4 linked regions of the Drosophila melanogaster genome follow. The protein of the gene in region 2 interacts with the protein of the main gene of each other region in a pairwise test. Each region holds a gene or a part of one and is shown on either strand. Other genes may lie near its edges. The genes, in order: Doa, Cul2, CG6923 and ClC-a.

What was found.
Region 1: the proteins of Cul2 (region 2) and Doa interact in a two-hybrid assay, tested with the Drosophila melanogaster proteins (one large-scale study listed by BioGRID).
Region 3: the proteins of Cul2 (region 2) and CG6923 interact in a two-hybrid assay, tested with the Drosophila melanogaster proteins (one large-scale study listed by BioGRID).
Region 4: the proteins of Cul2 (region 2) and ClC-a interact in a two-hybrid assay, tested with the Drosophila melanogaster proteins (one large-scale study listed by BioGRID).

The regions. Positions count from the first base shown.
Region 1 is NT_033777.3:28,901,850-28,906,482, reverse strand, and holds the start of Doa (darkener of apricot), read right to left. Parts: upstream 3,006-4,633; 5' UTR 2,908-3,005; intron 845-2,907; exon of another isoform or gene 721-844; 5' UTR 676-720; coding exon 1-675. UniProt on the Drosophila melanogaster protein: Dual specificity kinase involved in the negative regulation of microtubule-based transport through phsophorylation of the microtuble-binding protein eEF1gamma.
Region 2 is NT_033779.5:21,657,110-21,664,221, reverse strand, and holds Cul2 (cullin 2), read right to left. Parts: upstream 5,488-7,112; 5' UTR 5,261-5,487; intron 5,128-5,260; 5' UTR 5,069-5,127; coding exon 4,950-5,068; intron 4,383-4,949; coding exon 4,158-4,382; intron 4,100-4,157; coding exon 3,022-4,099; intron 2,875-3,021; coding exon 2,757-2,874; intron 2,693-2,756; coding exon 2,586-2,692; intron 2,139-2,585; coding exon 1,770-2,138; intron 1,705-1,769; coding exon 1,591-1,704; intron 1,534-1,590; coding exon 1,402-1,533; 3' UTR 524-1,401; downstream 1-523.
Region 3 is NT_033777.3:11,744,025-11,751,901, forward strand, and holds CG6923 (uncharacterized protein), read right to left. Parts: upstream 6,006-7,877; 5' UTR 5,674-6,005; intron 5,465-5,673; exon of another isoform or gene 5,218-5,464; intron 5,002-5,217; exon of another isoform or gene 4,936-5,001; 5' UTR 4,866-4,935; coding exon 4,766-4,865; intron 4,711-4,765; coding exon 1,334-4,710; intron 1,270-1,333; coding exon 1,145-1,269; intron 1,084-1,144; coding exon 915-1,083; coding exon of another isoform or gene 888-914; 3' UTR 459-887; downstream 1-458. Other genes in the region: CG43062 (uncharacterized protein), read left to right, coding at 6,351-6,875.
Region 4 is NT_033777.3:11,803,545-11,808,359, reverse strand, and holds the start of ClC-a (chloride channel-a), read left to right. Parts: upstream 1-1,792; 5' UTR 1,793-2,006; coding exon 2,007-2,327; intron 2,328-3,750; exon of another isoform or gene 3,751-4,374; coding exon of another isoform or gene 4,375-4,644; intron 4,645-4,815. UniProt on the Drosophila melanogaster protein: Voltage-gated chloride channel. Chloride channels have several functions including the regulation of cell volume; membrane potential stabilization, signal transduction and transepithelial transport.

The sequences.
Region 1 (4,633 bases), on a different chromosome or scaffold from region 2:
ATCTGGCGAAATGGAACGCTCTCGACTACGATTGTGGGAACGGGCATCCCGAGCAGCTCGCTGCATTCTCAGCAGCTCAATCGAGTCAGCTATGTGAGAGGTACTCTTCTTAGGCGGTGAGTCATCTTTGGAAGAGGCCTTCGGCTGCGAAACGTTAAGAAGGTGCATCTCCATGGCATCATCTATGTTGCAGGGTAGCGAAGCAATGCGTTCTCTTGGACCTGAATTGGTTGGAAGGGAACCCTTGGTTAGTTCCTCTTCCTCATCGTTGTCGTCGTCTTCATCATCCTCCTGCTCCTCCTCTGCCTGTTGCCTGATGCGCCGTTCCTCCTCTTCCTGTTGCCTGCGTTTCTCGCTCTCCATCACCCGCTGCAGCTGAGCCTGCACCTCGAGGGCAGCACGTGCTCTGGCCTTGGACTCGGCCTCGCGGGCCTGACGAAACTGTTCCTGGGCAATTGCTAGAGCTTCCGCCTCCGCCTGTGCTCGAGATCTGGCCTCCGCTTCTGCGGCTGCTGCTGCCCTAAGTGTGGCCAAATCCGTGGCCGTCATCTGCTTTATGCTCAGGCGGCGCTCAGTATTGAGGATCAACTCCACCTGGGTGCTACCGCCCTGCGGCTTTTGCGCCGCGAGGTCTGGACAGCCAAGGGCGATCAGTTCGCTAAGTTCGTTGGACATTCCAAGGGGTGTGGTGAACTTTTCGGTTGATTGTCAGCTTTCTTTCTGGATCCCAAGGGGAAAAATTACTCGATTATCTAATATTGCACTGGCGGCTCCCTCGAATTGCGTTGGGTTCGACTAGCTGGGCAAGACTCGCGAGGCTGCCAATGTTGGCCCCAAAGGAAACCTGCGCAACATCGGATTATTTCGTATTGGTTCTATTCGGATCAGATCGGATCGGAACAATCGATCGCACGCTCAATGTCAATGTCTCATTGGCATTTTGGCAAATGCCCGACGACTTGACTTACTAATTGTATCAATGGTCGCCGTTCGACCAAAGACTGCTTCTTTTTGGCGCCCATATACATCCGACATATATATGGGTACAAGCATGTATAGCACCCCCAATTTGTTTTGGTATATAGAGCAGAGACATATACAAATTACAAATCGTAAACAGCAATGAGCTCATTGATCGCGGCGCCGCCTCATCAAAAAGCAAACCCCCTACCCCTTTGCGATTCTAGCCAAAAGATCTGCACCTTGCCCTAAATCTATTGCGATGTGTGGAATATGTGTGAATATCCCTGGAGAGATCGTTTTAGCCTATGTGTGATATCTCGGTGGGGTTCATTGGGCATCTTTCCCTGCCATTCTGTGTTCGGTTCGAAATCTGTTTTTATTTTTAACAAATGGACGACGTTATACCTAGTACACAGTACGTGTGACGCTAGTGCCAGTACAGTGAAACCTCGATCAGCCATGCAAATTGAACTGACAGCTCTCATTTGGAAGATGCATCTCTGATCTCTGATAATCACATTCGACTGATTGGATTTTTTAATTCACTTTGAGTTTCCATTAATTTTCTGATCTTTGCTGAGCTCTGGCTTAGCTTTCACTGTACCGAAAGCACACACATTCGAGTTGGAAAATCTGAAGGGGAAAAGTTTTCCACCCCAGTTGACTTTTATTTTGGTTGGCATCATCATATGGCCAAAATTTAATCATGTACAAGTTTGTGTCTTGGATTTTTGCTATAAGTTTGTTGTGGCAACTAAATATAAATGCAAGCCTTACGAAAATAGCTTTCGAAAATTATAGAAAACGCCAGCTAAGCGGAAAGTGGAGGATGGAGGGCAGCGGAAGGAGACGCCGGAGCGGCGGAGATCAACATGATGATGATGTGGCAGCCTGATGAATAATCCCGCCGATCTGTAGCGCACATATAGATAGTTTGTATCTATGTGGCACACACACTAACGGACACACACGTGTGTGCTCCATTTGTTAGTTTTGAGTTTTTGTTTTGATTTGCTTGGCCGCTGCGTTGTCTTCTTCGCCTTCATCTCCGAGTACACAGAAAACATATTCACCATATTATCTAAGCACAATAGTAACTAAACTGTTTTTACTTGTTGACCCTTAAACTTTTGGAACATAGTTAACAAAGAAATATGGTTTGAAGATATATATCATTCCATAGTCCAAAATGTTTTTAAACTATCTTCATTTCTATCTGTGTATTCGATTGAGTGAATGTTGCACTAGTCTCCTCCATCCCCATACGCTATTTCTATTAAAAGTATCTTTCGCCTCGCTAATTGCAAACTTGGTGGAGAAGTGCAAAGTTCACTATCAGCGTTTTGGACGTTTCACAGCTGCTCATCAGGCTGGATGGTATCCCACTTGATATTATTCCGAATTATACACTCGCCACCATTGGCGGGGGGTCAATAAAACAGTTTGGCTATGGTATCTTGCATCGCGTTTTGTTTAAACAAATACAGTCCGATGAATATCGCGCACTTTTTTTTAACACTCAGTGTTTTGTTTGATGTTTTTTTCGCTTTCGACAATTTTGTTCTTGCCGCACTGCTACTGTTTTATTTTTAAAACACTTAAATGTTCTAAGTTTTGGGTTGTTTTTTGTTCTTGCGCTTGATTATGTCACGGTGCCCAGCAATTGTTCTACCTATCCTATCGTTCCGAAATGCGTTTCTATATTGCACATACGCTCCGTATGTACCTCTAATTATTGTTCTATTCGATTATTTGGTGTTTCTCAGCCAAATACAAAAAGAAAAGGAATATTCAAAGCACAAGAAACGCACACACACCACACACGCACACACACACATCGATAAACAAATTGCGCGAAAGGAGACGATCAATATAGAGATCGGGGGGATCTGACCGGATAGAGAGAGACAGCGAGTGTGCGGGGGATCCCCGTGGTACCCGTACCGTTACACGACGAAGACGAAGCGACGACAATATGTAGTTTATATGGTTTATATGGCAGCAGTGGCGGCGACACACAGCCAACAAACGTAGATTTCAATCTGTTTCGGTTTCCTCGAATTTGAAAATTCTCAGCCGAAAACTGGCCGCAGATGAGAAGAGCGCAGACTTTCGGCGGCGCGTGTATTTATAATTTTCCAATGGCCACGGAGCAAATGGCAAGTAGATGCTTTTCCGCCGGATGAAGCTGCGCGCGCATCTCCGAGAAAGAAGTATCAGCTGTGCGCCATGGGCCATAGGTAGTTTAGACGAACATGCGCACAGTGCGGAGAGGAATCCCCAAGGCGTCGCTCTCGGGAGCCCATAAACATGTGTGTATTTGGGGGCATGATATAGACAGGGAGAGTGAGTGGGCACCGTGTAAAATCGGTGTATATAGCGGCGGTCAAAGCAGTAGCATTGCCAATAAATCATGCCAAAATTTCCAGAAGACTTAACATTTGTGTTTGCAGAAATTCGAATAATATATGGACGACCATTTGACTTGAATCGACATGTGTACATATATCACATATACAGATTATAACTAACAATTTTAGTTTAAAACAACGAAGGGAATTTGTTAGGATTACAATTACTACTGTACATATTTTTTTCCACAATATTTTTGAAAAAAGGTTGTGTTCCTATAAAATTGTAGGACCGACAATGCATCACGAGAAAACGAAAGATATTCGCCGACAATCTGTGACTCGGAATGGGGACGACTCACTAGATAGTCGTCATTGTGGTCCACAAAGTACTCCTCGATGATCCAATTGTCGCCGGCGTACTTGTCCACAGGCATATCGCTGAGGGCCACAAGATCAAAGTGATTACGTTGCCGTTTTAGCAGCAGGCAGCGGGTAATGGCCACGCTCTCTCCGTCACCGGGTGAAGCATCCTCCTCCAGATATGTTTCCAGGCCACAGCCATTCGCCCCATTCCGGATGATGAGCTGCTGCTCCAACTGCTTAAAATACTGAATCTTGGCGGCCTGGGGACTAAACGATGACGCGGAGGGAATTCTATGCGAGTTACTCAGCCCACTTAATTGGCGGCGACATGGGCAACTGGCAATGCTGGCGAGGAGCAGTTCGCATCATCCGCAGCAGCAATAGCAATATCTCATCACATCTCAGAGCAGCAAAGAAAACTCTGGCCGCCGTCAACGAGTTAATGTCAAATGATCAATTGAACGAAAATAACTAGAACAGCGGGGAGTGTTGGGCACAGGGGTAGCTATAAAGAACCACCAACAGTGAATGAGAACTATAAAGTTCTCGTTTAATTGAGAGCTGTTTTTCATACAGCTAGATGCCACGAAGAACGCATAGAAATTGCTTAATTTGCACATGAATATTGCCAAGGTTTCGCTTAACTGCTCTATTTAAGTACCATTTTATTACTGATGAATACAGCTCAAACCGAGTTTCCGCTCTAAGCTTTTAAAAAATGATTATCTCTTAAAATTTTGATTATATTTAAAGTGGCTACTGTTTTTTTTCAAACCTACACTTGAATAACAAAACCAATAGTTATTTGTAATTATGTAACATCTAAGTTTCTGAATTTCGACACAGTTTAAAGGCCTTGCCCAACCAAGTTACTTTGTTTCAAGTACTATCTTATCAACTCATGCTGCTCACTCAAGTGCTCCGCCTCTTGAAGCCCTGAAGCATTTATTTCC
Region 2 (7,112 bases):
TTATCAGCGGGAGCTGTGGCACTCAAAAACAAGATAAAATTATTATTAACGAATTGTATTACAGTTACAGCTATTACATCCAAAATGCTTTTAAGTCGTTGAAGGCAGTTGTTTTCAGGGTATGGCCATGGATTCAGAAGCGTTAAAAAGATTTTTATGGGACCGCTTTTTTTATCGCGAAACAAATTACAATCATGTTCTACCGAATTTATCAAAACAAATTAATGTTATCAGCGACTTAAAAGTATTTTTTATTTATTCCGTTCAATGAACTAGTGTTATTTGATATAGGAAGTTAATAATTTTTATAATTAACTATTAAGTTACATATACATATTTGTAAAATTAATTAATTTACCATTATGATATATATTTTTTAGAAAAGTAGCACAAAAGAAATAAAAATGACTAAAAACAAATATAATCCACGGCCCTTGGGTATTTAATATATACAAATATTGGATTTCTTGGCAAAGGCGAAACTTAAATGGTTACTGAACATACGTACAAGGTATTGTAAATTAATAAAATCGACATTCTAAGATTAGTAAAAGAATTTAAGGGAATTTTATATTTTAAACCAAGGTCCAATAAAATGTGTGAGCAAAAACAAAAAGATGGGAAAGTCCTTAAAAGCTCTTTTAAAACAAAATCTAAGAATCTTAGCAATCTTGAAAGTTTCGAAAAATGTTTGCTTTTACACTTTCTTTGGCACTTTGACAACTCAAAGCTCAATATACGATATGCCAATTTGTAGGTGGTGGTACGCCTATTTCTACCCGGATTCGTTATTAAAAAGTACTAGAAAATCAAAAAATTATAAGAATGGGATTCCGGACAATAGATCCAGTTTTTTCCGAGACGACCAAATAAAAAGTACAGATCTCTATCCGCATACTTAAACTGCAATGCTGACTGCTTTTTGCACAGCATTCATTTATGTAAATTTGAAGTGTACAGTGGTACAGCGTTAACGCACAGGATACGAAATACTTTGAATGACATATTTTTAGACATTTTTTGGGATTTATTATACATTTTCCAGCACATTATTCTGGTTTGTGCGTGTGTTAATAAAACCAGATAAATATACAATACATAAAGAAATATATTATATCTACAATTGAATAGGACACACGCATTAAATCAAAATGGATCAACTAACTAAGCTAAATTAAAAGTATCAGTAACGTCGTTTGATTTCCACACACCTTTCATACCAATATGCTATGACCACAAAAATAACAAAACTCAAATTGCTTGACCTTTTGATTTCTTTTTTTAACATTGTAGGTAGTTCTTTTTAGACAAAATAAGCCGCTTGGTTAGCGTCAGTTGTGTGTATGGGAGGTTGTTGTCCGGGAAGGTTCTTGTTTAAGAATAAAAAATCTCTACCGCAGTCTATGCCATGTAGCTATATTCATCGCCCGAGTTCGCCGTTCGCTCAATATATTGTTTGTCAATTAATGACTCCACGCATTTCTTGATCATTGCTATGTTGGGAGTAAAGCTAACCTTCGATAAAGAGAGAACCTAAAGAAAAAATACATCATGTAATTTTAATTCACAGTCAGGTGTTTTAGATATTACCTCTTGTATTAAGGCATTGTGCTTTAAGACTTTACGCGCTTTCATAATCCTTACAATGGCGGCTTGTAGAAAGAGTTTTCGGTCCTCATCTACCGAGTTAATTGTGTGCTCAACCTACATAAATAACGTCGTTAGAAAACCAGGTACCAGGTAACCAGGTTGAAATCGAAATGCCTTACCTCCTGTGGCGTTTCTTTTTGCAAAGCCGAACTTATTTTAAACTTTGTACGCTTATTTGTGTAATCCAAATTTAATTCTATTCGAGTCTCACCGGCGAGATTCTCTGAGCTGGCATTTAAAAGCTTTGACTCGATAATAGGCTGCATGTGCTTTTGAAACGTTTCGTCGTTTAGCTGTAAGGTGTTCTGGATCTCCCGACAACTCAGACTATCACAAGTCTCGAACAGCAGTATTATCGCCATCTGGTATGTTTGCATAGTCACGATATAAGATTTTTTCAAATGGCTCAACTTTAATTCTCCATGACACATGTGATGTAGCCAAGTCAACTTCCGGCCACTAAATAATTTATGATAGTAATCCTCGAACTGAAAAATCATAACAAAGGTACAGTACACGATTAACGTATACATTTAAAATTTCTGAAGTACCTTCGACAAAGTCACACGGTTTAAGATGTATTTGGACCAAAAGAAGTTGCGTTTTGATTTGGTATGCTAAAGTACCTTTATTGAAATAAAGATACTTTTAACTTTCTATATGTCACACATTTCAAGAGAACACCTTACGATGTAGTCGTCGATTTGAAGGAAAGTTTTTTACATAAAGGTTTTTCTGTATTTATTATTATATATTATTTGTATTTATTGCTGCTTTAAATATTTATATATGTTTCTGAATATTGTTAAAAGGCCTCTCTTTAAAAATTTGACTAAATAAAGAAAGTCTGAAAAAAATTTTTTATAACTTTGGTTTGTCAAAGGCAGCTTCTATCTCGTTTTAAAATAAAATATATACATTTACGAAAAACGTACCATTTTAATAGATTTTTCAAATTCCTGTGGTACTGCAAATGGTATAACTTGAGTAGATCCCAAGGGCCACGCGCCCGCCTGCAGTACCTTAATGGCAAGGTTGATGCCTGCATAGAAATACACATACATAAAAATAAACTATCTTTAATGAATATACATTTTCCGTCTCACCTAAGTCCACATTGCTATCCTTAAGGTGAGTATTAAACTTGTTGTTCAGATCTACTGATACCGATATATCCGTAAACATGCGATGAAGTTTATTGGTAAATTCATAACCGCAGGCTTGCTGTAAGTATTAATAAAAGAAGATCTATTTAAGCTAATGTAGTTTTGTAAAAGGGTCATAACAAATTAAAACAGCATTAAAAATAAATAATTCACATTATTGCAGTTATTCACTGTGAAGTACATTTTAGACTAGCAGACCACGCACCTTCAAACGATTGATCATTCCCTCCTCCGCATCCATGCTCTGACTTTGCTCGTGGATTAGGCGCTTGGCTAACAGTCGGCTATAAAACTTTTGATACACATCCTTATCCTCGATATATTTAAATATGGTTATGTTGTTAGTAAGCTTTTGATCGATCTCTGCCTCGCAGGTCTTAGACTTTTTCAGTAGCGTATCACAGTATTTCGCCACATACTCGGCACTACGGCAAGGCTGCCGCTCGGTTGGCCGGCGATTGATAACGCTGGCGCACGCCTTGTCTAATGCGCTCAGGAATAGAGAATCGTTTTCGAAGACGTCTGCGATCAGCTCTTGGTACTTGTGATGTACCTTCAACATATTCTCTACGAACGCAATATGGATGTTTTCGCCCTTCAGCGCAGATACGGTCTGCAGACCTTCACTTTTGATGTGATCGAGGAAGGTGGTTATGAGCTCAGACTTGAGATTATCGGGTATGGGCTTTAGTACGACGTACATGTTGCGTAAGTCTTGGCGCCGCTCCTCTGAAACCATTTCGCGGCACTCCGAGTAGATGAAGCCCAAACGATCGTTAATAAACTTCTCCTCGCACTCTTTACGTAGTTTTGGCAGGGAACTGACGTGTAAAAACTTTTGGGCTCTCCGGCTTTCATATTCCAGTATCCGGATAACCTCCTGCATGTACTCCGACACTGAGCACCGATGGAGCAACTTGTTAGCCTCGTCTGTGTAGTAGGCGCCACTGGCCTCCAGCATGGGGCCTTCAAAGAGTTCCTGGTAGAGCTTAAGCGAGCCTGTTTTCTTATAGTCCTGTACCTCCACGAAGCTGTGTATCACTCCGTTGATAATTTGCACGCGATGGTGATCCAAGGTGCCATTGCTAGCTCTGTCTGCGGCAATGCCCTCGAGTATGTGACGGACCAGTTCGCTGGACAAGTACTCAATCATATACAGGCGCCAAATGTCTAGACCTAGCTCGCCAATCTCCATCTGCTCCGCAGCATCGCTTGACAGATTACCGTAGAACGATTCCGTATCGGTAATCTTTTGTTTCTTGATGTGTTGTTGATTCAGGTAGCTAAAGGAAATTAATTCCAACGATCATTGAGTTATTACAGACTTCGATGCATTCTTACATGTACAATTGGTGCAGATACTTGATACCCTGGCTATATTCCATCCAGGTGATGTAGTAACGCTGGAGAAGGTCTGGGCCACCATTGGAATGGGAGCATTCTCCCTCGATCAGCACCTTTTTGGCCAGCATCTCCTGGACGTGCTGCTCAAGAAAGTGTTTTGTTTCGCCATAAAGACGATCAGCCATCGGTTCCGGCTGCGCCACGCACAGTGTGTAAACGTCGCTATATGTTAAAGGAATGTGATTGGAAAGACAGATGTATTAGTGCTCGTTATTTTAGAAATTTTATTTTGGCAACTCACGCTTCACACATATATACGAACAGTTGCGGTCAGAATAAAAGCAGCCTGCGTTACACTGTTTTGATTATTAATTTTAAAAAGATACGTCATCGATCTATTTAATATTTACTTGAACTTAGTTTAACCTTTAAGCGGTCAAAATATTTAAATTCAAGCTAGAAAACAGGCATTTATTATTAAAACTATGATTGCATTTATCAAGATTCTACGACATTTACCAAATCATTTTCGCCTCGCTAGCAGCTATATTTGTGAATTTTGCTGTTGAATAAAATATATAGTTGAACCGCTAGGTACTAGTACATTCATAGTTTACCAACTCAAATGCAAAATAATGTGATTGAAACCATTACTTATGTTGGATTAATTTAAAAGTTAGTTAGTGTTATTTGTGTTTCTTCTGAGTTGGGTAACTTTGTAGTCTCTAGTGACCTATCACAATATCTCTCTCCAGGCTGTTTAATACTCCGACCGTTGCCAAGACGTACCTGAAGCTAGTATTCCACACCGAGCGCTCCACTTTGGTGAGCGTTATCACCGACTCGGCGATGCAGCGCAGGCGCGGCCAAACATCGACAAACTCCACTATTTTGGGCTTGAGCGACATGTCAAATGGGTCTTAGTCCTAATCCGTGGTCCGTCTGGATATGGATTTGGAAGGGTTTTCTGATGGGACAGGGTGCACGCTAATTAGAACGCCGACTGATTCTGCCTTCGCAAATATAACAATGGGCGACCGAGCGACCCTCATGCGTTGGCAGAGACCACTTCTGCTTTGCTTTTTGGCATAATCGCTTACTTTTTGCGTGGGGGCCACCAGGCAAATGGCCTTGTCCTCGAGCAATTGCACAGCAGGCCAATTACCGCTTGATGGATCGTGGAGGGGCGCGCTTGCGACCTACTCACCTGCTGCTTAGCTACGCTATTTACTAAATAATTACGCCGAGAATTTAGTTATTTTTGCACTTTTTTTTTGGTATCGTGAAATGGTTTGTCAGACGAAGACGATATCGATATAATCTATCGATATTTGAACTCGACAAAAAATTCGATGTAAAAAGAATGTCGTGTCTCCACTACCGAAACGTTTGCTTTTGTTTTGATCTTAATTTATTGTCAACGCCGATCCACTGAACAAATTTTTTACCTTCCTGCCTAAAAACTGGCCAAAGCCATTTTCTTAAAAAACTGTAAGTGCACAAACCTAAATTGATTTCATATGTGAACTGTAATAATGTTAGGATTTTTTATGATTTTCGTTTTTTTCGATTGCTTATACGTATTGCTATTGCTCTCGAGTGCCAACCTTTTTGTTCAAAAGAATATACATTTTCAAAAGATTTCAAAAGTGAGTTAAGGGTTATGCCTTAAAGGTAAGTGTATGATCTAGAAGAATGATCCATTTTGTACAGACCGAGTTTTAAAGGTCTAAACTGTTAAGTGCCTAGATGTGGCTTTCGAAAAGGCAAACAGAGATACATACAAAAAAATACAAATACAAAGAGATAGATACAAAATAAATACATGTTTAATTACTAAGAAAATATATAAAGGCTAAGATAAACAAACGAAAAAACCATTAAGCTTAAAGAAACAAAAATTTACAAAATGTATAGCTCAAAAAATCAGAAAGTCTCATATTTGTCAATGGCTAAGATCGTTGAGCGCCAAATTTTTTTAGTTGTCTGTTGGTTGTCAGTCGATTGGAACTTTTTTATCCACCAAACCGGAAATTTACTCCAAAGAATAAATTGGAGCCACATCCACCGTAGCCGCCGGTGATCAATACTTGCAACCTTCCATATGCGCCAAAAATTGGCACATCGCCTACCACTATTTCCAGCCTTTGTAGCTTCCAAAGGCCATCCACACATTTCACTTTGACCTATCCAATGTAGCAGTCGTCGATCCAAGTGTGATACCATATACTGATGGAGAAATGGATTGAGATGTAAATGATGTAAAAAATAATTAATATATATACCGAGAATTATTTAAAGAATTCGGACTCCGATTTACCAAAAGGTGTGATGTTCTAAGCATTTCAAAACATTTAAATTTTTTGTCTTTGTGTTCGCTTTAACATTGCTTACATTTTCAGTGTTGTGAGACGTCGGTGGTTATCGACTTTAGTGTTTAGAGCTGTGGCATGGGGGGTACTCCAGCCTGAGGAAAGCCTGAGCCATCAGCACGGCAGACGTTTTGTATTTATTTCTTAATCGTTATTTGGAGGTGAATTCCAAAAAATTAAATAAACTTCAAATTGCACGGTATCTTAAAAATGTTGTAATTTCATTATTTGTGTAAAAAGTTTGATTACAATTTAATCCACAGTTTTCGTGGAGATATAATTTTTCTGTGACTACACGCTTTTTACATGCATTGTTTTCGAAACTGGGATAGACAACAGCCAACATATGTAGATACATGTAAATTAAAATTTAAAATTTATTTATCTTATCTTATCCTTAATTTGAAAATGTTCACAATCTCGTCCGGACTTAGACTGATTTTCTAAATCTAAATCCTAATCCACTCAACCTAGAAATTTTTTAGAATTTTCTGGAACTTCAAATATGTTTAGGATAAAAGCTTTATACTGAAATTATTTCACAGCATTGTGAAATTGAAATTTTCTGACTGGTGTTTAC
Region 3 (7,877 bases), on a different chromosome or scaffold from region 2:
CCCAAACAGAAATAAAGGTGTATCGTATTTTTATCGGTGGAATAAAAATCAACAGACGTTTATTGGATTATTTATTGATTTCTGCCGTCTTAGACAGCCAATTTTTAAAAGTTTTAGGAAACTTTCTATAATATAAAACCAACCTTTTTAAAATATGTTAGCTCAAGATTTAAAAAATTGCATCGAATCAATTCACTTATATATGGCACGTTATGAGATATTGAGCAATAATCCGTAATCTATTAAATTAAATAGATGTACTATATATAATTTGGTAATAGCAAAGACACTAGAATAGAATAGAATTATTCTAGGGTCTTTGGTAATAGAATAAAAGATTATTCTCTACATTTTTGTGACTAATCAAAACATAACAAAATTTGTTAAATAATGAGAGGAAATCGTCCAGATTTTAAGTCCTTCAAATAATTACTCAAGAAAAATGCAAATTGCCAAATCGATTTCTAATCGGTTAAGTTTAGGGTCCGATGTTATATTATTTTGTGTGATCATTAAAAATATAACAACAAGCTGGGGTCAAAGTTATCATATACGCCCGTCGTGGGAATTCTATACTATAACAATATACGCATATTTATGAAATTCTTATCACAAGAATTTTGTTTCACAAAACGTAGACAATTTGTACATATGTATAGGAAATTATTTGCCGAATCACTTAATATACTTAGACATAGAAATTGAGCCAAACAAATTTAGCTTTTTGATATCTTTCAGCGCAACACGGCAGCAAGCTGTGGCAACTGCCTTTTACATACGTTGCGGTGGGTTAAACATTTTAAGGTATGTATATAGGGGTTTTTACGAATATTTCATTCTTTGTTCTTGTATCGATGCATGCCGAGAACAAACTCAGTCTGAGGGATTTACATAAAGATGCCGTGCACACAATGTCATAATGCGGCGGAATTGGCGGCATCTGGGACTCCGCTGGAGCTGGGGGGAAGAGCGTCGTTGGGCATGTGTGTTTCGATGTCGACGCGACAAATGGGGCAGTGCTTGTTGGTGACTAGCCACTGATCCACGCAATCCGTGTGAAATAGATGCATGCACGGCAGGCGGCTGCAATTGTTATTTAATATAATTAGAGAACTTTATAAGGTAACGTCCACATTGAACTTACCGAACTTCGTTCTCTATCTCAAAGAGGTTTAAGCAAATGGCGCACTTCTCGGCATCCTCATCGGTCTCACTGGGTCTTCGGACGCGTCGATATTTGTGAGGCAAGGTATTCCGCTCAATAGTTTCCTGAAATAAACGTAAAAACTAATTAATATAAATAGGTATGACTTTGATTTCTATACGGCCTTACCAAAGTAGCTCCCCGGTTTGGACGTGATGGTGCGATAAGGATACGGGAGCCCAGAGATAGGGGGGCCAGCCCAATCTCCAGATGCAGTGGTGAGTAGTGGTGATGGAACATGTGGTGGTGTATGGCCCGCTGGCGCTGCATATGCTGCATTACTGGTGGCGATTGCTGAGCCTGCGGCTGCTGTTGGGGCTGAAGCTGCAGATGTCGCATACTCGCTTGTGCTGCCACGCTACTATTGCCAGAACCGGATGTAGCAGGCGACTGTTGTTGAGGAGATGGTGGAGGAGCAGCAGCTGCCGGTGCAGCGTCGTACGGCGGATAGTAAGCGGGATCCAGGCTTGATACGGGACCGTTCCGAGCATGAACACAACTGCAGATGCTATGCAGGTACCCGTTTCGCAGCGTGCTCGTTAATAGCGGAGCATTCGAAGAAAGATCGATAGGTGTGGGCGTCATGTGGCGACGGTGCATCTCCTGCATGCTTTGCTGGCGGTACCACAGATTTTGATGGACCGGATACGGTGGAGCCGGCGTCAGCGAGGTGGCCACTATGGCGCTGGCCCGGTGAGGGGGATGAATGTGGGCGTGCATCTGGTTCTGCGGTGCCTGGTGACCTTGATGCGGCTGCGGCTGATAGTGCTGTCTATTGCTATACGCAGCTTCGGAGCGTCGAACACTGAACGGCGGAGATCCGCAGTGCGGAATGGTGCTCCGTCCGGAATACATTTCAAGCGGCGGTGGTGGAGAAACAGCTGCCGCCAGGTTTGCATTTGATGCCACTCCTGGCGCTGGCGGATTAATGGATTGCCGCTGCTGGTGTTGCGCATGCACCATTGTATGTGGAGGTGTCCGGTTGCCTTCCAGGGCCGCAGCACGTCCCTCATTATGGGCCTGTGATAGCAAATCACTAAAAGTTTGTGCCTGTACCGCCGCCGCTGTGGCTGCCACTGCAGCCGCATTCAAAGCTCCACTCAAAGAACTGCGACTGCTTCCGCCTTGACTGGGCTGAAAATGAGGATGAGGGTGAGGGTGAGGCTGGAGACTCGGCGGGTAGTCCGACTCCACCACAGTTGGCAGCGTTGTTATCGCATAATAGTACGGATGGTAACGATGATACACGTTCGCCGGGCTACTTCGCCTGTGGCGGGATTGCTGCGTTGATGTCTGCTCGCTGGACGAGCTGCTTGGAGTGGATGTAAGATTTCTTTGCTGATGACGTAAGTATGCCTCAGTGGAAGAGTTGTCAGGCAGCAAAATTGGGGGCATCGGGGGCGGAGGTGGCGGGGGAGCGGGATGGCCTGGCATCCACATCGAGGATTCGTTTATCGGAAGGAAGTAGCGCTGTGGATCCATGTTGGAGCAGCGGGGCGGGTAAAAATTACCGGGGCCGGGATCCATCAGCTGGTCTAGCTCGTAGCTGTAATTGTGGTCCGAAATGGCAGCCCGATCAGCTAGAGCGCCACTATAAAATGCGAATGCAGAGGTGCCCTCATTATTCGCTTCTGTACGACGATCTGTCCTGCGAGCATAGGGGAATGTGTAAGCACAGTCATACATGGTCCTCCTATCCTCATTTGGATCCTCCGGGTTGGGTTGAGTGTCATTACGATATGGTTCCCGATCCCTTGCTCGCTCCCGTTCTCTTTCACGGCCCCTATCCCTATCCCTCTGCAGTTGCGTATCATTGGCCAAGCCATCGTCGTCGGATGTCAAATCGATTGAGAGTATGGGCTCACGAGTGGAGTGCACAAATACTACGTCATCATCATCATCGTCCGATGACCAATCATCCAGCTGCAAGTCTGGTGCCGTCAAGACTACGGAATCGGCGCGGGTCTCATGGCTGCCACGTCTTCCCGTGGATGTGGACGGAAGATTGAGATCCGCGGCGGGCTGACTATCTCTTGGCCGGCCGACGTACGTAATCACACAGGGCCCGTTCGAATTCGGCGTCGAGGATGGTGGAAACCGCACATGATGTTGCCCAGAACTGTTCCCTTGCTCCGCAAAGGTTCGGTGTCCTCTCCTTCCAGGATAGAACGAATTAAAATTCGTTGAGGACAGTTTGGAACGCGATCTTCCGGGCAGTTCCATGCGCGCATGTTTCCTAGGCGGCACTGAGTCGTCAGAGGGCCGCGCACGACTCCATGACATTCTAGACTCGCCGGGAACACCGTACATACTGTGCATGGGTTGGCCTGGTGACTGCTGATGACGCCGTTCTTCGTGAATAATCTCCTCCTGTTGTTGGCGCTGTTGCTGCTCCTGTTCTTGATCCGAGCTTGTGGACGGTGATCCTGTTGCAGCCGACCTTCGACCAATGCGAGATCCATAATCCACGCTACGTGTAGTATGGGTGGCCGTGGAGCAGGAGGCTGACCTAATGTAGGTACTATCCGGTGGAGCTCCCGCCACAGCGCACCGACTATTATAGTAGTTGTGATCCGTATGACCTATCTCGGCCTCGTCGGACCCCCTGCTACCACGGATAATCGTTACTGTGGGCTCAATTGGTGGAACGGGATTATGCACACGCAAATCCCAGCCATCATCGCTGCTCTCGTTTTCCGGCTCCAAAACCCTTGATTTGCGATAAGAAAATTGACTCATCTGTCGCTTTCTCGATTGGGCACTCGTGCTTGGCGTGGCATCCGTATCTACTGCTCTGGAAGAGGTGTTGGAGGCATTATTGGAGCGGCTGGCCTTCTTCTTGTGAGCCTGAACGGCAGACGTAGTCGTCGTGGTGTTGGTGGTACGCGTATGAGCAAACTGGCCGTGCTCCGTGTCCGAGGCACTCGATGTCACATCATCGTAAGCATTTACGGCACTTGGGGCGGTTTCGAAGGAGCTGTTGCTGAGCTGCAGCGAACTAGAGGGGACCTCGTAAACGACCGCCGTAGAGTCCATAGCATGCTCTTCTATAGCACCGGCAGGCCATGTGCCGCTGACGGACGCAACCACCGCGTCGCCGTCATTGTCACTCTCTGGCTCCATTGTCAGGGGTTCAGTCTTCTTTCGCTTGGGTCGTGGAATGGAATGAACAGCGGGCGGATTGGCGATCGCCGCTGTGGAGGATGAGGGCTGCTCCAAGAACTGAGCCTCCGAATGCGACTGGTTCTGTGTGGAGTCCGCATAGCGACTGCTACTGGCCACCATCGATTCGCAGCGGCAGAGTCCGTCCAGCGAACTGCACTTGTCACACCGCCTGGCCAAGCCCTCAAATCCAGAACTCTCTTCGCGACGTGGCTCCACCATGGCGGTGTACGTGGGCGGCGAACGGGTGTGGCTGTGGCTCTGCGAACTGGACAGGAAGGGCGTCATTAGCATGTAGCCCTCCGAATCCCTCTGCTGATTATAGTACATCGCATACTGGGAATCTGCAAAAGCACAAGAGGATTAGCACTATCTGGTTCCAGATGATGGCCAGCTTACGGTTTTCCTGTCCACCCGAACTGGTGGCCACACTGCCGTACGCCAAGGTGACCCTCGGCTGGTGGTGCAGCTCCTCCTGGTCGTTCTCCAAGCTATCCATTTCAGTCGTCTAGTGGGCAACGTTACCAGAACGGCAAAGGTGCGTTGCAGCGCATGCAGGCCAAAATGCGCTAAAATTGTGTATATGTACGAAAAAATGTTTAATTTACGGGTATGAGGAGGTACAACTGTCTAACAGAGACCAGTTTGCTTTTTTTGTCCGGAAACAGAAACAAAAACAAGCAGTGGGTTAAGTATTTGGGTTCCAAAGCTATTGCCAGCTATGTACTCTAGGTACTCCAAATGGAAATTCGGGGCTATTATTTGCACAGTTCTCGAGCGAGTAAAAACGATTTAAAGCTCAAAATAAAGTTTGAAGACGGAAATTTTTTCTTTGCTTGTCAAATACACACTCTTTTGTCAGCACCACTTTTCCGTCAAGTTTTTCATCGCCGTTAGCAGGAAATTCCAAAGCTACGTGGGGAAAACACAAGCGCCGCAGTGAAAAGTGAAAACTTTTTATCGGATTCCATGCACTGGGATGATGGGGGTTTCCACGGAAGCTCTAAATAACTTATGACAACTTATTACTAATTAAGTTCAGCAGTTCTTTATTTTAGCCAACGCAATAGGGATGAGCGTTGTATCGATATGTCAGCATATCGATATGTCTAAGCTGATATTAAGCTGATGCGTTTATTTTGTATTAACTTAAATTAAAATTTACGAATAACATTCAGCTTTAAGTATATTGAATGTTTCGATACTATTGACTTCAATTTGGGGAAAACGCCAAATCAGCTGTTCGGCTGTGGGCAAACTATGAACAGCTGTTCAATGATAACAAATGTCCCCAAAATAATTCTTACCTCTATTATATGTGTAACACAGAAATATTGCGATTTTGGTAATTTTCTTAATTCCTAAAGCCGGGATTACGCGAATAACCGGGTGGGGATTTCCGATTGGGCAAAACAAAGAGAGTGGGTGGTGGGGGTTGGCAGGCCAACAGCTGCTATTGGGGAACACAAGGGAGTTTAAATGCAATTCTTTTCGCGGGGGCGGGGGACTATTCTCATTCGCAGCTGCTGTCCGGAACAAATTTACATTATGCACATGCAAATTTGCGATATATATGTTCTCACGATTTAATCATTTTGTATGTGTTACTGGATTTTATAGCAGTAACAACACCGAACTGAAATATTTAGACAACTTTTTCTTCGACGGTGCAAAAACTTGCAGTTCGGCGATGATGGCGATACTATCGCATAGAAGCTAGCTAGCTCTTTCGTAGACTAAAGTTGCGCAGTATGGCCACACTGATAATTCAAATATTTTGGCACTAAATATACCGTTAGAAACTATACTACCACTACTTACCACTGTTTAGGGAAGCTTAATATATACATACAAAGAAACTCTTAGTTGGAAAGTTGCGAATCATAATTATCTGGTTTTTAATGTTAATCTTAATTAAACTGTATTACATTTTCTAGTTTTGCTATCACAAACATAGTTTCCTTCATTTTCTTTTCATGTAAACATGGGAATAAGCCCACAATGCTGGCCAATCAAGAATAAGACATTCGTGTTTTTGTGCCGGGGCATACACGAAAGAAGGTCAAAGAAAAAGACACTTTCAACGTATTATACTCTTCCCCATTACCACAATCAGGACGAAAACCACAAGTACGCCTTTTTCCATGTGGAAAACGATTCTCGAGTTTTCTTCATTACAATTGGGAGAAGCCGGCTAAACAATCTCGATTGGTTTCTAGTGGATAAATGGGGCAAATTCATTCGAAATGGGACATCAGTCTACGATTACCACACGGGCTTCGAGTGCGTGTACAAAAGGATCCATTTCTTGGAGAGACTGCTTAAAGAATGCTTGGCTAAGCAAAATTCCACGCAAAGGAACAGCACGAATCCCGAGTTGATGGTTCTACACTTCCCGGAAACGAAGGCACCAACCTACCACATGGTATCCATTGGAGACAATACGCGGTGCTTGAACTGGGTTATCTGCCTGCTGGGACTGGTTATACTTCTCTGCTGCCTGAAATAAATCCATATGCACAGCACAAGCCTTAACATATCATGTATTTAGTGTTTTTATTGAGTTTTTATATGTATAAAACAATATCTACTCTTTCTTTTATTGCTGGCTTCGTATTCTTTTCTCTTGGCTTTCGTTTCCAATTCTGTTTAGCCATAATTTTAAAACCAATTCGCTTCATACAAATATTCCTTGATTAAATCGGTCAGCTAATCAATTATCTGCAGGATTTCCCCATATTCTCGTTGGTGTTCATTTCTCGAAAGCTGCGCTGACCAGTGTAACGACTTAAGTTTAACCATTGGCTTAACGGACATTTTCTAAACCAAGGTGCTGTTTGTTTGAGTGTAGTTTTATCGGATTTTAAGCAGCGCTGCTTGTAAATTCAACTCATAGTTATTATTTGTTTTTTTTTTGTTTCGTTGCGAAACACTCCTCACAGTTTTACAAACAAACGAAAGCGATAGTTTCCACTTCAATACTTCAGTTTCAGTGCAACTTTGATTGCTTCTGTAGGAATTCATTGCATGAATAGTATAAATTATTTGGACGCTGTTATTATTATTAGCAAATGTTCAAAACTTTAACCAAACCCAAAACGAGGCCGTTGGCAACTTTTTTTGGCAGCAGCGTTTTGAGCTAAAATTATGAACAATCATTTATGATTTCATATGTCTGCATTTAACTTTATTTTTTGTGGTCAGTTTAATTTTTCGTTTATTTTGTTTTTGTTTTTTGGAAGTTTTTCGCACAAGTTGCTGTTGGTTGGAAAAATAGAAGAATTGGTGTGTATGCAGCATGCACTTGACATTGATTTCGTGGGACGTAAACAAATAAGGTCTGTGGAAAATGATACTCCTCTTATCAGTAGATTGAAGTGGTTGTTGATGGCACAGCGTCATTTGATAGATAGATTTCTTCAGGTGCATTTACATTTACATTTTATATCACAATTTTTTAAATATTATAGGTGTATGTATTTAACAAAATTGGTTTGCGTGTTATTATTTC
Region 4 (4,815 bases), on a different chromosome or scaffold from region 2:
TGTTGTTGCTATTTGGACCCTTATCGCGGATTTTGCGGCTCGAAAGGTGTTTCTAGCACCATCTGAGATGCTGGCTCTCCAGTCGCCACACGGTTTTAGCCAAGATCACTTTGTTTTATCGCAAGCTTGCTAATTTCTTTCATATGAGTTCGAAAATGGCGTTTCACAAAAAAGTACGTAAATTATCATTTCATTCGGACAAATATCTCTGCAACTGTTTTTGCGCCATGAAACACAAAAGACAAACTTAGGGAATAATTATTATACTAAAGTTAATTATATGCGTTGTGACAGATGGTTTCCTTGATTCGGAATGTTTGAATTTATGGTAAATATCTTTCAAGACCCATTATGTCAATTCAAAATGTTCAACTAAAACAAATTTGAATCGGACTATGTGATGAGATGAATTATGTAAATATAAACAATAATATAAGATATTAAGATACAATCATACAAATACAACTATGAGAACTACTTATAAATTAACAGACACAAAATGCCGCACTGCTTAATGGGTCAAGCAGTGCGCTGATATCTAACAGCTCGCGACAAAAGATAAGCTTTCAGTCTCTTTATACCCGTTACTCGTAATTTAAAAGGGTATACTAGACTTCTTAAGATGAAAACGTTTCCGACCATAGACCTAGTATATATACTCTTGATCAGGATCAATAGCCGTATCGATCTGGCCCTACCCGTCTGTTTTTTCCGTTCGTACGAACGTCGAGATCTCCGAAACTATAAAAGCTAAAAGTTTGAGATTAAGTATACAGATTCTAGAACCATAAACATGTAACATGTTCCCACGTCCCCATTTATTAATTTTAATATTTTTTTCATTTTCCACCGATATTACAGAAAATGTTGAAATCTTTCACTTTTCCAGCTGAGTGACAGACAGTGACAGTGACAGTGACAGTGACAGTCAGATACCCATCTGATAGTACCTCGACCATAGCATTCTCTCTTGTTTTTAATAGGTTTCTCTTAAATTCCTATTCCTATAGCAATTTCCCGAAAGTCATTAAAGTTCAAGATTATGGTCTGAGTACTCGATTTACGCGCAGACCAACAATCTATACCTATTTAGGGTTGCCATTATCATTATCGCAAATTAGGGGTAGAAGTTGTAGATTGACTAAGACAATACGGGCCAGAAGAGCCGGTACACTTTAATACTTAAATGTGATAAATCCAACGGATTCTTGAAGACATGTGACCCAATGCCTAGCCTACACATTGAGACTATTAAAGCAAGTAATCGCAATTTATGCGGCTTAAGTGATCCGTCACAGTGGGTCGAGCCATGCCAATATCTTGCAAGAAAGCTGGAGTGACTAATGAGCATCAGTCATTATTTTCTAGAAAGAAAATAGTGAGGATTATTACTTTTCAGTGCATAATTGGCAATAGCAATGGAATATCTACATATTTAAAAACAATTTTCAATGGCAATCCTCGATGGAACCTATGATTGACCTAGACAATAAGACCATGCCCACTGTGCACCGCACTTCGTGTCATCCAAGCGCTTGGCATTTTCACTTTTTTGCCGTTGGACCCGTCCACAGATTATTAAATTTATGAAATTCTATTGATGTTTACACGCAAACTTTGACCGCTCGAGAGTCAGTGGATGGATATACTACATACAAATGTGGGAACTATATGTACAAGTATCCGCAAACTTGAGACTGCTGAAAGAGCAGACGAGTGCGTCGGTGTCTGTGTACTAAATTTAATGGAATCTTGAATTTAAGCGGGACTGGAGCGTTCTATCTTCATGACACTATTCAGTTTGACTTTAGACACTGCTCGACTCACATGCAGTCGGGAATTGAATTCGCAAACGGATTTCAAATACGGGAAATGAGCAAAAATATCTGTGCCATGGATGTGACGAAACCGTATCGATCCCATCTTTGATACGAGTAGTGCGCCATCGATTGCGTTCAACTGCTATAAACCCATTAAAAACCCATTTGAACTGACAACAGCACAGTATGGTTTATTTCGGCGATCGGCAACGCGATCGCAATCGCGATCGGAGTAATCAGAAAGTCGAGCGAATCATTCACGATGAAGAGTTTGGCGAGGAGAACGTCGAGTTGGTGGACTCGGAGTGGGCGGACTTCGAGAAGTTCATTTGCCAGTTGCGCAAGCGGCGGAACAGTGCTATGTCCATGGAGGAGGAACTGCGTCACGTGCAGCGGCATCCGAAGATCAAGTCGCACGCCTTCTATCCGTGCCCGCCGCCAGCTGAAAATGCTCGGGATTCGGACTCCTCGGACGATGATGATCCCATCGGATACATCGATACTCTTGTAAGCACAACTGGCGATTTGTAATACAATAGCTACTGTTACGGAAATCTAATTCTTTGTTTGATAACGCACGTCATAAAGTTCTTATCTGTATATCTGTCCCACTTGCATTCGCTGTGTGTTAGCCAAGTTCATACACATATGGTCAACAGAATAGTAGTTTGGGTAAAACATAAGTTTTACTTTGTTATAAAAAAAAGTTCTGAGAACAAATACCTTTTCATTCCAATTATATAACTTTTTGATAATTTTTGCTTATTGCTTAAAGCCTTTGCTAGCATCGAATTTTCAAATTATGAAGAAATATTATATTCCATGTCTGGTTTGGAGTATTACAAAAGAACCTCCTTAAAAATTATAATTTTTTCGCAATTTTTAGCCGCAGGTGTATGTATAAAGATATAAATATAGGTACGTCTGCGAATAGCCGTGATTATAATGCCAATTTGTCTGATTATCCGACTTTCTTATTATTATTACCCCTTTTTGATGACGCAAAGAGCGTCGAAATTTTTTCCATTGCTCACGTAGAGGCAGTAGTAAAATATTTGAATTACATCTATGAAATTATACAAGCTCAAATACAATATCTCAAATATTGTAAAACAATCACTAGATTAAAAATGGAAAAATCACTGCCACCTTATAAGATATCCAATCAATCGATACGTTCGCATTGTTTATTATTGCAAATTTAACAATGTTGAAAAGTCTGCTTTATTTATTTAAGCATTTTTCGTCACGCCCGTTTCGTACATCTGCCGTGAAACCATCGATCAAAACAAAAACTTTTTAGATTTCTGAATGGTTTTCCAAGCTTTCGCTCGCCGCTTTTCCTGCCAGTTGCCACTGGCGATTTTCCCCACTTCTATTCGCATCTGGGCCTTTGTAAAAGCAATGCAAAAACAGTGTACAAATGACAAAACAGGCAAAAACATTAGCTATTTTTAATCCGATTATAACGAAAAGTGTTTATTATATTTAAAAAAAAAAAAGAAAGCAACAAAGATTCCATTGCTAAAGGTAGTAGGGTGGCGAAAAAGAGTGACCGTATCGGGAAGTCGTAGGTGAGATTTGAATACTTTCGTATACCCATTACTCGAATTGAAAACTCCCGAGCACTTAAATCACACACGTGTAGTTCATTTCATGAGCACATCTTAAATTGATAATCCCATATCGTGCAATTAAGTTTATGAACCATTTCGAAATACCAAAGAATTTGGCTTTGATTGCCAAACGAGCGGATTTGGAAAACAATGCTAAGATTCATATTTTGTTTACACATCGCTCGGCCAGTTTTTCATTTTATTTCTGGCCATTTTTTAATATCGGCACAGCGTGCTACCCTGCCGCAGCGTCTAGCCAAAAGAAATTTCAATAATTTTCCACACAAAGAGCGCCGAAAGCTCGACAAGTCAGTTTAGTTTCAAAAAAGTTTGGGTCAAAACAAGAACGCTCGGTGGCTCGGTCGGTAAATCAAAAAAGGAAAAATCAATAGATAATGAAAATCATTAAAAAGTGCCAATAATTTGCAAAATATATGGGCAAATACTGAGGTGTTTTGTGTGCATTTTCCGATCGAATCGCAGCGATAAATCAAATTTATTCGAATACGGCAAAGCCGTAAACCGACCACGACCCAGTGTAGAAATGTTAAAAATAAATGGCAATGCATTTTAGAATACCCGTGTTTCCTAGACGGGGACTCAAGGGCAGTGGCGTCCACCTCTAATTACGTCTGGCAGTGGGACTCAATTCAATTCGAATCGAATCGAGTCGAGTCAAAAACTTGCACTGCATCCGCGAGATAACCGAAAACCTAAAAATAATTGCCAAACAAGATGCGACACAAATATTTGGCCAACAGCCGCGGGCATGTCAAAGGCCGCCACCCAGATCCGTGCGACTGCAGTGCTCACTGTGAATTTTGATTAAAATTTGATTACGATTCTGAGTGCGCGATTCCGATTCCGATTCCGATTCCTATTTCGAATCTGATCGTGATTTTGAGTACGGGACATTGTTCGTGTGCATCGCTTGCTTCATGTTTAACAACAGCCACTCGCACCAGGATGAGTACATTCGCGAATACGCCTTCGAGCCGGAGCTGCTGATCAATCGCGAGGACTACCAGCGCAAGGAGGAGCGCTCGCAGAAGTCCACAGCCGCATCCTCCGCCTCCACGCCTGTCCGCCAGCGCTGGGATGAGGTCATTGCCAAGCAGAAGGAGCAGCAACGCAAGCAGAGCATCGAGATCGATCCGCCCGGCGATGATAAGAACCAGATCGAGATCGAGATCGAGGCGTTCTACTATGTGAGTGGCCTACGAGCCACCTGCCCATTTCATCCGCGTTGGACCAACGGCCATCGTCAACCCTTTTAAGCACTGGAAAAAAATAACCCTGAAGTAGTTCCATCATATCGAAAATAATCCATGACACGGTTCCCATTCCAAAAGTGAAGTGGAAAATAAGCGAAAGTAACC